Linked DNA regions of Drosophila melanogaster. The gene in region 1 interacts genetically with each later gene. Each region holds a gene or a part of one and is shown in the gene's direction. Other genes may lie near its edges.

Evidence for each region.
Region 2: of smash (region 1) and bocks, changing one enhances a phenotype caused by changing the other (phenotypic enhancement), as found in Drosophila melanogaster (one study listed by BioGRID).
Region 3: of smash (region 1) and Ote, changing one enhances a phenotype caused by changing the other (phenotypic enhancement), as found in Drosophila melanogaster (one study listed by BioGRID).

Annotation. Positions count from the first base shown.
Region 1 is NT_033777.3:4,657,294-4,662,807, forward strand, and holds the start of smash (smallish), read left to right. Parts: upstream 1-2,285; 5' UTR 2,286-3,106; intron 3,107-3,233; exon of another isoform or gene 3,234-3,646; intron 3,647-5,514. Other genes in the region: spartin, read left to right, coding at 288-519.
Region 2 is NT_033777.3:9,588,758-9,593,513, reverse strand, and holds bocks (bocksbeutel), read left to right. Parts: upstream 1-2,511; 5' UTR 2,512-2,584; coding exon 2,585-3,784; 3' UTR 3,785-4,046; downstream 4,047-4,756. Other genes in the region: P58IPK, read right to left, coding at 4,232-4,756. UniProt on the Drosophila melanogaster protein: Inner nuclear membrane protein. May have a role in maintaining the structural integrity of the nuclear lamina. During pupal development, plays essential and redundant functions with the other LEM domain proteins; MAN1 and Ote.
Region 3 is NT_033778.4:18,274,897-18,279,723, reverse strand, and holds Ote (otefin), read left to right. Parts: upstream 1-2,546; 5' UTR 2,547-2,644; coding exon 2,645-3,919; 3' UTR 3,920-4,117; downstream 4,118-4,827. Other genes in the region: pen-2 (presenilin enhancer), read right to left, coding at 1,655-1,794, 1,869-1,973, 2,043-2,103. UniProt on the Drosophila melanogaster protein: Inner nuclear membrane protein. Involved in the attachment of membrane vesicles to chromatin during nuclear assembly, and is probably required for centrosome maturation and cell cycle progression during mitosis.

The DNA of each region.
Region 1 (5,514 bases):
TTAGGCTGGCAACGGTTTATTCAATTTAAATATATCTGAGATTTAAGTTATGCGCAATGTGCAGAGGATCGCAAAAATGATCAAGGATCGGGAAATGTTACTCAAGCTTGCACACAAAGAAAAGTTTTATAACTTGTTGTGAATCGTCTCAAATATGTAATGCTACTAAAGGTCTACTAAGATCTAGATATTCATTTTGGGTTTCTTTCGCCTTCGAAAAAGAAAAACATATAGTGCGGGCATTTTTAATATTTCATATATTTACATATATTTATTTGCTATTTCAGATATGGCCAGCAGACGGGGAATCTGGCTAGTGGCACCTTTGACACGGTGGGCAACGTTTTCGTGGTCAGTCAGAACGTGAACTACATAACCCCGAAGGGCATTGCCAAGAAAATGGTCAAACGAACAGGAGAAGCTGTGGTCAGTGACTACAAGCGAGACTTACGCAAATCGGAATCTCATTATATTAATGCCGGATCTCTTTATCCGGATCTTCGAGCTTTGAAGGAATAGCGGGAAAACCAAAGGAATTTATCACATGTTATTATTATTATTATTATTATTATTATTATTATTATTATTATTATTATTATTATTATTATTATTATTATATTGAAATATTTATATGCCATTTATAGCTTCTAATTAAAAGAAAAAATATAAATAAATATTATGTTCAATAACACATAAAAAAGATATTTCGAAAGATTTTGCATCAAAACCTTATTTTAGTGTTCAAAAATGCTTTACTTTTGTATTTGTAGATAAACCGAAGCTAGAAAGTATTAAAAAGAAAAATGTTTAATTCACTTTGTATATTTGTATAACCTAAATTCTAGCTTCCTAGCACTCCAACCGCTAAGTATCGGGTATCTTTTGTTTTTAAATTAAAATGTCCTGATTTTTGATACACAACTCAGTCCTCTTTCACTAATTTAAAAGAATTAACAATTTTAGCAAGGAATTTAGTATGAACGTACCATGTAAATTGTGAACAAATGTTGATCTAAGTATCTTTAGATTGACGATCAATAAAAAGCCGTCTAATTTAGCGGCTTTAAATCCTCGTAAGTACTGTCATAGCTTCCGATCGCCTGAAGTTACAGACTTTTGAATCTTATATTGTTGAAAAGGTTATGTTATTTGCATTATTTCCTAACCATTTCCTAAGACTCTATATAGCTATCTTATTCCTTATTCTTTTTTCCTATCTTAAAAAGCACTCTGATCAAGCAAAAACTTTGCGGAACGAGTCAAATTTTATATAAACAAGTTAGGAATTTATATAACGAGCGATGAACCCCACATATATACTTTGGCGAAATATGGTAAAACTTCACGTTTTGTTTTATACACGAGATATAGAATGTGATATTCTATAGGTCCTAAGTGTCATATATCAAGGAGCCCATATATTTAGTTAGGGTTCAGCTCCCGAATCAGAACATAACATAACATGAATGACTATAACCCCTATTGTTGGTAAAACTTTCTCCTAGACTATATTTACATTTACCTTATTATAGTCCTTTTATCCTATTAATATTTATATTAGGAGAATATAGGAATATGTATACTCATATTATTGTCAAAATCATATGAATACATTTTTTTATATATATTTATTAAAAAGAATCCGTACATAATTATATTGTATCTTAGCATCACAGGGTGGAGATTTATTCTTAAGAATTACCAGTCGATATATAAAAAAAGTAAAGTAAATGAATACATTTGTTTTCAAACGTTAGCTCTCGTGCGAGTTCCATTCTGAAAATAGGAATGGGTGTTTAAATCCTCACATGATTAGTGAGAGGTTTGGTTTTATCATTTATATGTTAATTGCGCTGTTATGTTGCTATTGCTGCATTGTATGGATTCATCGCTTCTAAATAAATAAATTTAAAAAAAAGGAATGGGTGTAGCATACTTTCGGGACGCGCAATAAAAAATTATCTTGAAATTGGTTTGGTTTTAAACTCCGCCATATATCATTATATAATATTATATATTATTTGATCCCAAAGCTTCATAGATTGATCCATCAGCGTCTCGTTGATTTTTGTATGCAATACTTTACGTACTAATTCAAAAACCGAGAAAGTTGTTAATTATTTTGAAGGCTTTTCGCCGAACAACGTAACAAAAAACGTAAGAGCGTACAGAGAGACCTTGCCTGCGGACAGATAAAAATACCGCTCGTAGTCCGATTCGACCCACCTCAACTGATTCAGCTGGCCACACTCCGCCCCATTTTTATATCCACAAATTCCTACGCTCGGCAGTACGTTTTGAACTCGGCCAAAAGGAGGTGGCTAAGAGTTTAGCGCGGCACGCAAGCACATAATTCCCCGCTCGGACGTGATTTCGCCCCTTGGTACATGAATACATGTGAATGTGTACATATGTGCGCACGGGAAATAAGGCAGGAAAAGCCCAAAGCCACGGAGTTCGGATCCGAGAGTCTTGCGTTTTGTTTTGCGCAGCACTGCACCTGTGCAGTGTAAAATCGTGAATTCAGTCGAGGTGCAACTGCGGCGCTTGTGCGGTTGAGGGAGGAGAGTTGGCAGAAGTGTGTTTGTGTGTGTATGTGGGTGGGTAGTGCCTTTTATTTCCGATTTTGACGGGAGTCCAATCCACCAAGCTGAGTAGTTGCAATTACGGCGCGGCGGAAAACTGTTTTTCTCGCTCACAAATACATATGTACAACCTGTATAAACAACAACGACTGCCGTAAACAGCCAACTGCGAACGCAGCAACAACAACAGTTCTAACAACAGTACACAAGCAAACACGTTTCCCGTTTTATTTTCTGGCCCGCGTTTATTAGTGTGTGTGGGTGCGCCTCTGTGTGCGAGTGCGTATGTGTGCGTGTGTACGTGTTGCTCGCTCGAGTATAGAAATTTCTAATGATTTTTGGCCTGTTCCCGAAAAGCAGCTCCAAACAACAACAACAACAACTTTAGGACTCTGCAGTGGCTGTTCCAATTGACTCGCCATTCTTTTGAATTGTTTTTATATATGTAATTGAACGCCGAAAAACAACTGTGTAAAAAACAGCATCTGTGCCAGCAACGAACAGAGCTTCGAATTTTGTTGGTAAGTGTTTTCAGCTTCTGCACAATGAATAAAGTAAATAATAAGTGAATAAGTGATTTCAAAATCTGCATTTTGAAACCGTAAAAAGTGTAGAAAAGAAAAGTGTAAAAAGGTAGCCAATTGTCTTAGTAACGTGCTTATTTATGCAATTTGTAACTATTGGCTTGAAGTTTACATAAAAAAAGGTCCATTCGAAAAATGAAGACTAATATCTTTCCTATCTTTCCTAACGGATATCAAAAAGTAGGATTGGGTAAAACACATTTCTCTCGGAGATTTTTCTTCATTGAGCGGATCGCTTAGATCCATTCATCTGACGCAACAGTAGCAGCAAAATAACGTTGTGATGACCAGGACTAGGGATATGACCTCAAGCAGCATTCTGGGACCTGGATCATGTTGGTCAGGCGGAACTTGTAGATGGAGGCTCGTGTTCTGGAGTGAGGCTTGTGAGCTTGAGTTGTACATTCTTGCGATCCATCCACCGATCTGCTGGCTTTCGAATTTGATGTTCGACAAATGTGTCTCAAAAAAATTTCGACACCCTCGACATGCGTTTCTGTGTTGGCTTTGATAGGTTTTTTCCCCAAAACATTTTCACTTTGCATGCCAATTTTCTCACCGCTCAAACTTGCAGCACTCGGGCGCCTAGTCATTTATTTGATATCATCATTATCGTCATTGCCCGAGCTACAGGCTACAGGTTTTTAGCTAATAAGGTAATGGCAAAAAGACGGGGAAAAACGGCTGAATTATAATCGAAAGAAAAAATCCATCATTGGAAAGTTGGTTTAATTGCATTTGCGGAATGCAGCTGTCAGGGTTGCCTAGTTGTGCGACAGGGCGACGCATTTTTCGCCAGCCGCGCACTTGGCTAATATTTCAGGCTTCATGCTTCATTTGCGTTACGAGCGGACCAAGTCGACTTTCGGAGCAAACCCGGCGGCAAGGGCGTTGGACTAGATTGGATCGGGTGGATTGGATGATGAAGGTGATGGGACAGGAGAAAGGTATTTGAAAGGGCTGGAGTGGGTTACACACTCCCCGGCGATATGGAGTTCATCGTCTTCCGAACTTGAGTTTCAAAATCTAAAAAAAAAACATCTCTATGTATGTATGTATGTAAGTACTTGTGTCTCCCAAGTTCTGGTGCCTGGAAAATCGTCAAACAAATATATTTTCAAAACTTAAAAATTTTTTTTTTTTGGTTTTCGAAGGATAGCGTGCACTACCCACAAAAGGAGCAATAAATTCCTCCGGGTGACAGTGGTTGGCAATTTTTTGCAGCAATTGGCAGGGCGAGTGTGGGAGAGAGCGGTGCCGGTCGTTACACGTTACACACTTTTCCGGGGCACTTTCCCAAGCGAATATTATTTTTTCTGTGCCCTCACATGAAAATCAATTCATAATGGTGCAGGTGGGTGGCGGCTCTCATGCTTTTTTTATATTTTTCTCTATAGTGCGATTGAATGCGACAGAAAATAGTATGATCAAGAAATCATATTGTTTACACATCGGTTTTATAAATTTGGTAGTTTAATTTTTATTAGTCCAAACAAATATCGGATTATATTTTTGTTTCAAGTGTACTTTTCACTTCTTTGCACGGTGGGTATTTTCCTCATCATCTGTTTTTCGAAGAGCTTTTCCGCCGCTGCTGTTTTGTTTATGCTTTTCCCATCTCATTGTTTTTGCGCGCCTCGTGCGTCAATTTATGTGAGTTCAGTTTGCCTCAAAGACGGAAGCGGTCTTAATGGTACAAATAGGAGTAGCTGCGGCTCCAGCTAGGAAACCGGAGGAAAAGGGTGCCGTGGAAATTGGCGCCGCCGCAACTGCCCAAATGCCGCGGCTGCTCATAACTTGTTTGCCGAATAATTTCCAAAGTTGCAATTTTCATTTTATGGCCATTTGTCTTCGGTTGTTTTGTCTGCCGGTTGGGGCACATTCGAAGCCCGGTTTTGCTTTTTTTTTTTCGTGGCTCATTTTGTTTTGTAATCAGAATTACATAGAGGGAAACATTTCATTTTCATTTGCTAACTAAGTTGGTCTCTCTTTCGGACCGCTCTGTAATCGGGTAAATGAAATCCAGATCAGTGGCGAAATTACAAATTTGTTCCATTTTGTTCTAAACATACTCGCATTTCGTAAGTTAAAATTTTCATACATTAGTTTCAAAAGCTAGAAATATAATGAGAATCTTAGAAATAAAGCGATTGTCATGTAATTACATGATACTAGAGTACCTTATCCAAATCAGACTGACTTGTTTTAAGCCATCTTGTGCTTGACATACACATGCTCAACTCTTCCCTTTTGGGAGGTGCTATCTGGTATCCGATTTCGTAACCAATTCGGCCCGAGTCCGGCTCTTTCATAACAATAACCAAAAGCACTTGTCACTGCCATCT
Region 2 (4,756 bases), 4.9 Mb from region 1:
GGCATTTTGTTTTCTTCATGATTGAGGAATTTTTGTTTTTAGTTTTTGGTTTTGTTTTTCATGTCTAGCTCTGGCAATAAGTAGATGCAAGATTGGATTGAATAAATGCATTTGGCTATGAGTCATATGGTTTCGGGATTGCAAATGGAATTGAATGGGGTATTGGGAAATTTTCAAACAACTACGGCTTCCTAAGAAATGAAAATGGCTAAAACCAAGTTGAGCTGCACGCCAAGCCGTTTTATGCCATATTGATAGAGATAAATCATTTTCGAATCTGTTATCTCATTCCAATTTAGTGTCAAATTGGAGCTCCATCGATACGATGCAATTCGATTCGATTCAATTCGAGTTGAATCCCACTCGACAATCCACTCAACTCTCATGACTTCATTTGGTCTTGTGCAATTTACTGATTATCTCATAATCATTCGCTCGTGTGCTTCAGTTTGCTGGCGCAAAAGAGACTCTTTCTTCGCGGCTTAATGATGCTTGGAAATTAACCAGGGATTACATAAGTAAAATTAAATTAAATCAAAATGGAAATGGAGATGGAAATGGAAATGGCAATGGAAAACGAGCGATGAAAACGAGAAAACAAAAGCGGGCAACAAATTTGATTTTATTAACCTGCGACTGCATTTCAATTTTGGCATTTACAACATTTTCTTGTCGCGTGTGTTGTTTTCGTGCTGATTTATGCCGCTTTTGGGCCAGCCGCGTTTGCAGTGAAAGTTAAGCGGGTTCAACAGCAAAAACAGCTGAAAACAGCAGCCAAAGGTTGTGTCAATGAACTGCGGTGGCGAATTCCCCAATTCCCCCAATTTGGGTTGCCTAATGTCATGGGCATGGGGCTAATCTTTTGTTAACAATTGTGATTTGGTTTATCGATGGAAGGCCTCTCACGTGACTTGGCTATCAAGCAATACCAAATATAGGCAATGACCGACTGAATAGAATGAAATGCCCAACACAAATTATATTGGTAACAATAAATAACATTTGGAGCTACTTGAAATCAGCAAATTCACATGTACAAGCCACTCCAAAAATAGCACCAAATATGTATGTGCCTAAATCACTGATATTAACATTTAGTTTGAAACCCCATTTCTTCCTTGCAACCCCCGATGCTTCTTTTTAGATGAATTCTTAATTATGAGTAAATATATCTTCATGAATACAATTGTTCAAATGCTCTTTGTGAGTACATTCCTTGGAATTCGTTATAAGTGCAACGTAAACAATATTTAAAGAATACCCGGTGGTCGGTCCTATTGGGCATTCTAAGCTGCAGAAGTGTAAAAAGGGTTGGTTTTATTGCTCACCTGGTGTTAATTGTTGCGGCAACAGGTAGTTCTTCTGGTGGAGTAGACTGGTGAACTGGACTGCCGATAAGAAGGAGGCCACGCGCAGAGTTTGAGTTTGGGCAATAGCAATATCGAAATGTAATAAACCAAATACCAGAAAGGCAATTACTCGTTCACTTTCGATTCGATCGGCCGATAAGGAATTTTACAGGGAAAACACGATGTCAACACGTTTAAACAAAGAACAAACGCACTTATTTTCTGTTTGCGCTTAACAAAAAAACAAAAACCCAAATACGAGGATATTTTTTTTTTCGTTTAGTATTTATATCTACTTTGATTCGTTGTTGTTTTTCACGTTTTATGTGTTTGTTTTTGTCCCGCTTGCTCTTTTTTGGGGCGCCTTTCTCGCTCTTGTCCGCTTTAACCGGTTTTTTGGTTTATGTTTATGCTGCTGCTTCTACTGCTGCTGTTGTTGCTGTTTTTGTTTCCCTTGCTCTTGCTTGGCTAAATGGAAAATATGCTGCAATTGCAGCCAGCAAATTGTCGAATGTTTCCAGCCACTTGCTTTGCTACTCGAAATCGATGCCAAAAACTTTAATAACACCCGCGATTGAGGTAAACAAAAGTGTAATAAGCGAAGTGAGGCACACACGCAGGCGCAGAAAAGCAAAAAGGTGAAGAAATATTGGCCGCCAAACAGGTGCAAATGATTCACGATTGTTTTTCCACAATCCACTGTTTATGTTACGATGCTATATCTCCTCAGTTTTCCGCACTGCGACTTGGGGATTTTCTTTGGCTTGGCGAGCGCTTTCCGCGCGGCGATTCGTTTAATTCGAGCGTCTTGTTTGCGATTGAACACCTGTTGCGCGTTCGATTTTCATAAAACTAACTGTGTGACCGTCGGGCGTTAGTTGAAATAAACCATAGCAAGCGTATCCAACCAGGTCTGGCAGCACTGCTGTAAATGTTTAGTTGTAGGCATTTTATAACACTGCACATGAGGCGATTGCACATAAAATATCGAGTTAAGTTTTTCTTCAAGTAGTTTGTTCTTCTGTCTGATGTTAAAAAATTGTTTTTACTTTCGTGCACAGCTCATCCAGCATATGAAATCTAGCTATAGTTTGTCAAACAACATTACTTTAGCAGCAATCGATAGGCGTGCACTTAGATTGAACATTCTATCGCTGCCGTTCCATCACTAATAGACAACATTGTGACGACATTGCTATTTTTGTGTGTTTTGAGTTTCACCACGGCGGAAAATAATGTCGGACCTTTCTTACCTGGACACGTTGGGCAACAAGGAGCTGCTGGCCAAGTGCCTGGAGCACGGCCTGCCCGGTGTTCCCGTGACGGACAGCACCCGCAGCGTCATAATTCGCCGACTAAAGGCCAAAATCACCGGGGTTCCGCTGAACAAAAGCAAATCTGCAAGTAAGAAAGCGATTCCGAGGCGTGAGACCGTACACGGCAGCCAGGTAACGACGCCCACATCGGAGCCAGTGCGTCGTACGCCCGGCAAGAGTGCAGGACGCACTAGCAGCAACAACAACAAGATCAGCGAACAAAGTCGTCGCACAATCGCCTATGGACTAGACAACACCTCGATCTCGGGAAGATCTGTGCAGACTACTACCACGGTGTCGGATATGAGCTCCCAGTCGGAGGACGACGACTCCTACATGGTGGACTCTCCGGTGCCTAATTACTCCAAGGACCAGCAGCCTAGACGTTATGTTTCTCTAGCCAAATCCGGAGTTTTGACCACATCTTACACACGCGAAGTTGACCAGCCGCTGTACGAACAGGAGGATATACCACGCAGCTACACCTACGAAAGACCCCATGTGCCAGCCGCCACTCTTCACGCACTTCCCACATACGAGCCACGCATCGAACCTTCGACATACAGACCCACAGATTTGGGTTTTTCGCGTCCCCTGCTGACTCAAACCAACTTAAACTCAACCAGCTACGAGGAGTCATCTACGTACAATCCAAAACTTTCACCCATTTCGCCAAGAAACACTTTCAGCGGATCCGCTAGGCCTTTTGGTGGCCCAGCACCAGCTCCAGCACCCATTCGCCAGCGACAGAGTGTTCCAGTTAGTGGATCCAATCTGGCCCGTGGTCGCCTGCTCCAGCCGACCACCGCAGTAAACACTCTATATCCACAACTAAATGAATTCTACGATCAGCCGAATGACGCAGGCGAACCCATGGAGACGGAGAGCGAGTCCGAAGTCGAGGAAGTACCCATCAATAGCCATTTCCAAAAGAATCGCTTCTCGCCGCTGGCTAGAAAACCTCTGGTAAGACACCACGATCAGGTTTCGCCTATGGCGCAGTTCCGTGCACTGGCGGTGTCATTGGATCAAAAATATAATCTCAAATTCTACTTAATATTGGTAGTGTCAGTGATGCTGGCCACCATGGTGTACGTGGTATTGACACCCAACGCCTGAGAAGCGTTCATATCGCGGAATACATTTGGTTTTGGTTACTCCACGCATTTCAACCACAGACTACAGCGAAGGAATATTTATGACGACTTTGCACCTTAAGACTACTACTTCAATTCCAAACATGTTCAAAACTAACAAATATTCAACTCAATTTGCCAAGTCTTTAATTGCTTGTTCTCGCATATTGTTTCTTTTTATACATAATTAGAAAAATGTACTACATTATAATTATTGTATTGTATTAAATAAACTAATTAAATGTAAGTGCTCAGTGTGTTTTGTTGCGATTTGTGTTTGTTTGTGGTACTCTCTGACAACGGACCATGGGTTTATTTATGCTTTATGCTACTATTTACACGCCATTTAAATGAACAAAACAGTGTAAAATCGTTAAAGGATATCGGGGATCGCGGCTAGGACATCACAAAGCAAATGGCTGCTGGCTGACTAATTGAAGTGGAACTTGAACTGGAACGGCGACCCGTGTTGGAAGTGTCCAAACGGATGTTCGCCATGGAAGCCGCCACGCTGATTGCTCTCAGGATCTAATGGATCCTCGCCGTTGTCGAATTGACGACGCTTCTCGGGATCCGTGAGAACCTCCTTGGCTGCGGCAATGTCAATAAACTTTTTCTCGGCCACCTTCTTTTCCTCGTCGCGGAAGTTGTCCGGATGCCACTTTTGCGCCGCCTTCCTGTAGGCCTTCACAATCTCCTGTTTGCTGGCGCTACGCTTAACGCCTAATATCTTATAGTAATCCCTGCGCTCTGACTGCTTCTGCAGCTTCTTTGCCCTCTGGATGCCTTCTTTAGCGCGGGTGTTGCTCTCTTCCAGGTCGAGAGCTGCTTGGAAGGAGTGTATGGCATCGTCGTACATTTCGGTGCCCAGCAATGCGTCAGCACGATCACAGTAGACCTGAGCATCCTTCATAATATCCAGTGCCTCCTTGCACTGTTGCAAAGCCTTGCCAAA
Region 3 (4,827 bases), on another chromosome or scaffold:
ATAGCATAACTACATATAGCGACTTTTTCCTAAGTGTATTTGCATCTGCATATAGATATCTATATTTATATTTATATCATACGAGAGAGGCGTAATCCGAACATGAACAAACACAACCAACAAACAGATTACATGAAACATGCAAAAAATGAAAGGGAAAAAAACGAATCAAACTCGATACTGTAGTGTGTTGATTTCTTTGTAAAAAAAAATAAAAACTAAACGTACGAGAAATGAAATTAAGAAAAGATCGAAATGTATGAATATTGTTTAACTAAATGATTAAATTATGCAAGTAGAACGTACAAGATTAGCATTTAGCGTGTGTATTAATTATCCTTATCTGTGTTGCGGATGGAGCTGCGCGGGATTTGCATCTAAAAGACAAATTGGGCGCGCCGCCCATTCAATTCTTATAAATATAAATATATATTATGTGTATCTAAATCTATATCTGTGTGTGTACTACTCGTATCCGTAGTTTCTACTTTATAAGTTCTCCGTGAATGACTACGATGAATTTTTCGGCCAGCAGCCGCACATTAATTTTAATTGTTTCTAAGCATCAATTTGTACTTTAAATATTTATACGCATATGCTGCATATATGATATGATAACGATGGCGAGATATATATGTAATTAAAGGATTATCTATGTGAATGTGGGTGTGTAGTAATTCACTAGCCGCTTCATAGACTCTACACGCGTGATTTATGGCACTTAATGTTCTGTAGCCTAAGCCCAAAAAAAAAGAAAAACTGAATGAGAAAGCTCCCATCTGGCCCTCAAAAATCCCGCTTCCTATCCCAAATACACATTGATTCTTTAGAATTTATAAATAAAACAAGTATTGATTGTAAATATACCTTAAAGCGAGTCTTTTGTATTGTAAATTAGTTCCACTGATTGATTTGGTGGCCCTGCTTAGGTGCTTTGCCACCAAGTTCGTGTTATAAACATTAATACATAATATTGTAATTTACTATATGTGTTGGCAGCATTTGCTGTTAACCGCAAACGAAATGCAAGCGATTTACCGAATAATAGCAATTTGAATTATGTCTTCATGTGTAGATCGGCGAGTGTTTTCCTTACACTCATTTAGGAGTCGCTAGGTTTTTTGACATTCTTAATGCAATTTGTAATCAAATCGTAGGAGGCATTCGACTCACGGATACAAACACACAACATAACAAAACAATTAAATGGGATTTAACAAATTACCATAATGGCTTATGCAACGGTACAAGCAGAGTTTTATACAAATTATGTATTTTAGAGATGGATAAAGCGCATTGAATTGAATTCGAAACAATGAAATTGTATCTAAGCAAAGAATGTAATCCACAAAATGGCTAACTAAAGCTAAATCAAGCATTCAAATATGGGCGGACGAATATGAACAAAACACATAACTAGCGGCTAAGAAATTTCAACAAAATATAGTACACATATTTAAAGTATACAGAAAATTATAAAAAACAAAAACAGCTTTAGATGTGAATAAAAAATATGTAATTAAATCAAAACAGCACTTCTTTTGTTTGGGTCATATACGGGAACTTCTGATGGATTAATAATAAACGTTAATTTTGTTTAGGAATGAAGTCTTTTTTAATATCATTAGTTGCTAACGAATTAATCTAGTTATGTCTATGCACTGCCTAGGGGTATGATGAAGCTCATATAGTCCGCTGTGGCGCCCCAGGCTGTGCGATTTGTCTGGAATATTATTATCCAGGCAGTTAGTACTATCAGCCAGAATAGAGTCCCCACTGCAGAGTATATAACATCTGGAGGAAGGTAGGAAAGAAATTGTGGAATATTAGACTGTATGGCATGGGCATCTATTCATATATTGACTTACATCTCTTTATTTGGCTCTGCTCCGAAAATGGTGGCTTATGGAAGGCCTCCGTGAAAAACCAGCAAACGTTAATGGCCCACACAAAGGGCAGAAATGCAAAGCCAGCTAAGTTCGAGACAAATAGAAAGTAACTTGGTTAAAATCCAATCATTACTCATTGGTAGTAACTCTTACCAAAGAAGTATTTGCGACACAGCTCCAGTTTTCGCGGATTTGGTGCCTTTGAGATGTCCATGATTAATCCTCTTCAAATATGTGGGTGTTTGCTCCTTTGTTTTCGAATCTGTTTCCGGCCCAGGAAAGTTTTTTCGTACTTATATGTAAATTGTATGTAATATGTAAATTGTAATAGCTTATATTTTCACTTCAATTTTTGCTTTTGTTGATTTGTGTTTTAGTTTTTAGTCCATTGGAGCGCAATCGATATCGATAAGTTATCGAAACAGAGGTGAGCTAAACTGCGACTCTTGGATCACTGTTTCATTTGCCAATATCTAACGTAAATAACGATATAATAATATAGCATAGATGTTTTATTACGTTTGCACGATTTTGCGATGTGTGCGATGATTAGTATGAAACATCATTCCTTGTGTTCCCTTTTTTTAAAACGCCAAAACTGTTACAAGTCAAGCCCACTTCAGTGTTGTATATCCCCTAAAACAGAATCATCGATAGGTAATACTGCTGCCATCACTATTTTAGCACACACCGCGTAAAAGCGACGCCGATTTCAATTTTCAACGAATTATTAAAAGTGTGCGAAAAACCATACAATGGCCGATGTGGACGATTTTGATTCTCTGTCCAATGCTGAGTTGCGCGCCAAGATGCTGGCACAGGGGCTGCCCAACATCCCCGTGACGGATAGCAGCCGGAAGGTTCTAGTAAAGCGTCTGCGCGCCTCCATTGGTGGCCAGGCGTCGCCGGCCGCTAGTCCCAAGAAGACCAACAGGCGGGAGACCCTGGCTCCCGCACCTGGTGCACCATCTGCTCCGGCGGCAGCCTCCACGCCGGTGGACAAGCTGGATGGCAACAAGGTGGCGCCCGCCACAAAGGCTCGGCGCACAATTACCGCTGCAGAGGCCAAGGAACCAGTGCGTCGATTACCCGAGGAAGCTATACGCCGACGCCCCGACGAAGCCGACCGCCTACGATCCGAGGAGCCCGTTGCCGCCAGGAAGCCAACAACTGCTCCTGCTGCTCAACCCGTACAGACCCGGCGCACTTCCACCTCCTCGGGGTCTGAAAGGAAAGTAGTGGAGCCCTTGAGGAAGCCAGAAACCATTGTTGAGCAACCGGCTTCCTCGAAGCGCGCTGATCGAGAGGAGAATTATCTTAAGGTCAACTCCCTGATTGTCCTAGAGTCCGATGAAGAAGAGGACGAGCAGCTAGTCCAGGCTGCAGATCTGGTGGAGCAGGAGCACGCGGCCAGACAGAAGACCACGAAGCTCGCAAGCAGCGGCACCACTACGTACGAGTACAAAAGCAAGGTTGTGGAGCCTCCACGCCGACAGGTCTATGAAGCGACAGCAGCTCCCGTGCTGCCGCCATCTGTGCCATCTGCCAGAGCGCAGACCACCAGTTCCACCAGGTCCTATGACTATGCGAGCAACCCAGCACCCGGTCGCTATAGCAGTTTTGTGCGTACTGCAGCCCAAGGCTATGTGACTGCAGAGGCTCCGCCGGTGGCCTCCTACTCATCCAGCTACAAGCGTACCTATGCTAACGAGCTGAGCGACGACACTGATTCCAAGGAAGACCAGTACGAAAGCACATTTGCCAGGAATCTAGCTCGTTTGCGAGCCGAACGGATTGGAGATCGCATCAGCCCGTATTCCAGACGCACTCTGGCCAGTGGAAACGCGGGTAGCGGTTCTCTCGGCTATGAGCCGCGTGCCAGGCGCTCCTTGCGCCCGAATGATAACAGCGTATCCGAGGCCTTTAACCGTTGGTTGAACAGCCTGGAGCAGAAGTATCACATCAAGTCGAAGCTGTTCATTGTACTCCTCGTCCTTTTGTTAATCGGCGTTTATTACATATTCTACTGACCGGCGCATCATTGTTCTTATTTCGAATTTGTAATCTAGTTTGTATACCATGTTGGATATGTTTTGTAAACAAGACTGCCGCCGCGGTCTTTGTATGAATCTTGTTTTGATGTAACTTGAGCTTGAGTTTGACTAGCATTTAAGCTGCGTGTTATCCGTGTTCAAATAAAGCCCACTTGCAGGGAATCTCCACAGTTGAACACTTGCTCTGATGTTTTTTCTCCAAACGGCTTTCGATTCACTGCGCTCCACTTGTGGCAGGTGTTTGCCCAGATTGGATCAAGAAACAGCAGCAAACGACGATCGGCTAATGATGGAAAAGTATCTGGAATGCGTGTACAACACTTGTCGGCATGACTCTGACCAAATGTAGGCGCAATGGCAACCAGGCAAGCGCAGCTCTTATCTGAGCTAAATTGTTCCTGCTGCGATCTGATCTGCGATCCTTGCAATGCCTTGCAATCAGAATTAATAAGAATTTTACAAGTCGGCTCGGCGGCCGGTGTGCGTTATTTTAAAATCCTTGCCCGAGTTGGGCTGTTTAATTTTATTAACTGGAAATCGCACTTGCGCGTATTTCTTTATTTTCTTAAGGAAATTTCGCGCCATATTTAGCGGTAACAAGCGCGACCGGATCCGGGTCTGACTTGCATGCCAGCAATAAGTTATGAAAATTGCAACATCAGTGGCTCGGGGGAAATGCCAGTTGTGCTGGGGATGTTGCTGCCACGGCTGCCACGGCCGCCACGACCGCCAGTCGCCGCCGATGATGAATTCCACAAATGCATGGAACAGCCAGGCGGCAGATTCCTTGAAAAACAAAGCCATGGCCCATACAATATATCGTGTGGCTAATAAATACGCCGCGCATTGCTAGTTGCTCTTAATGAAATTAACTTCCAGGAATT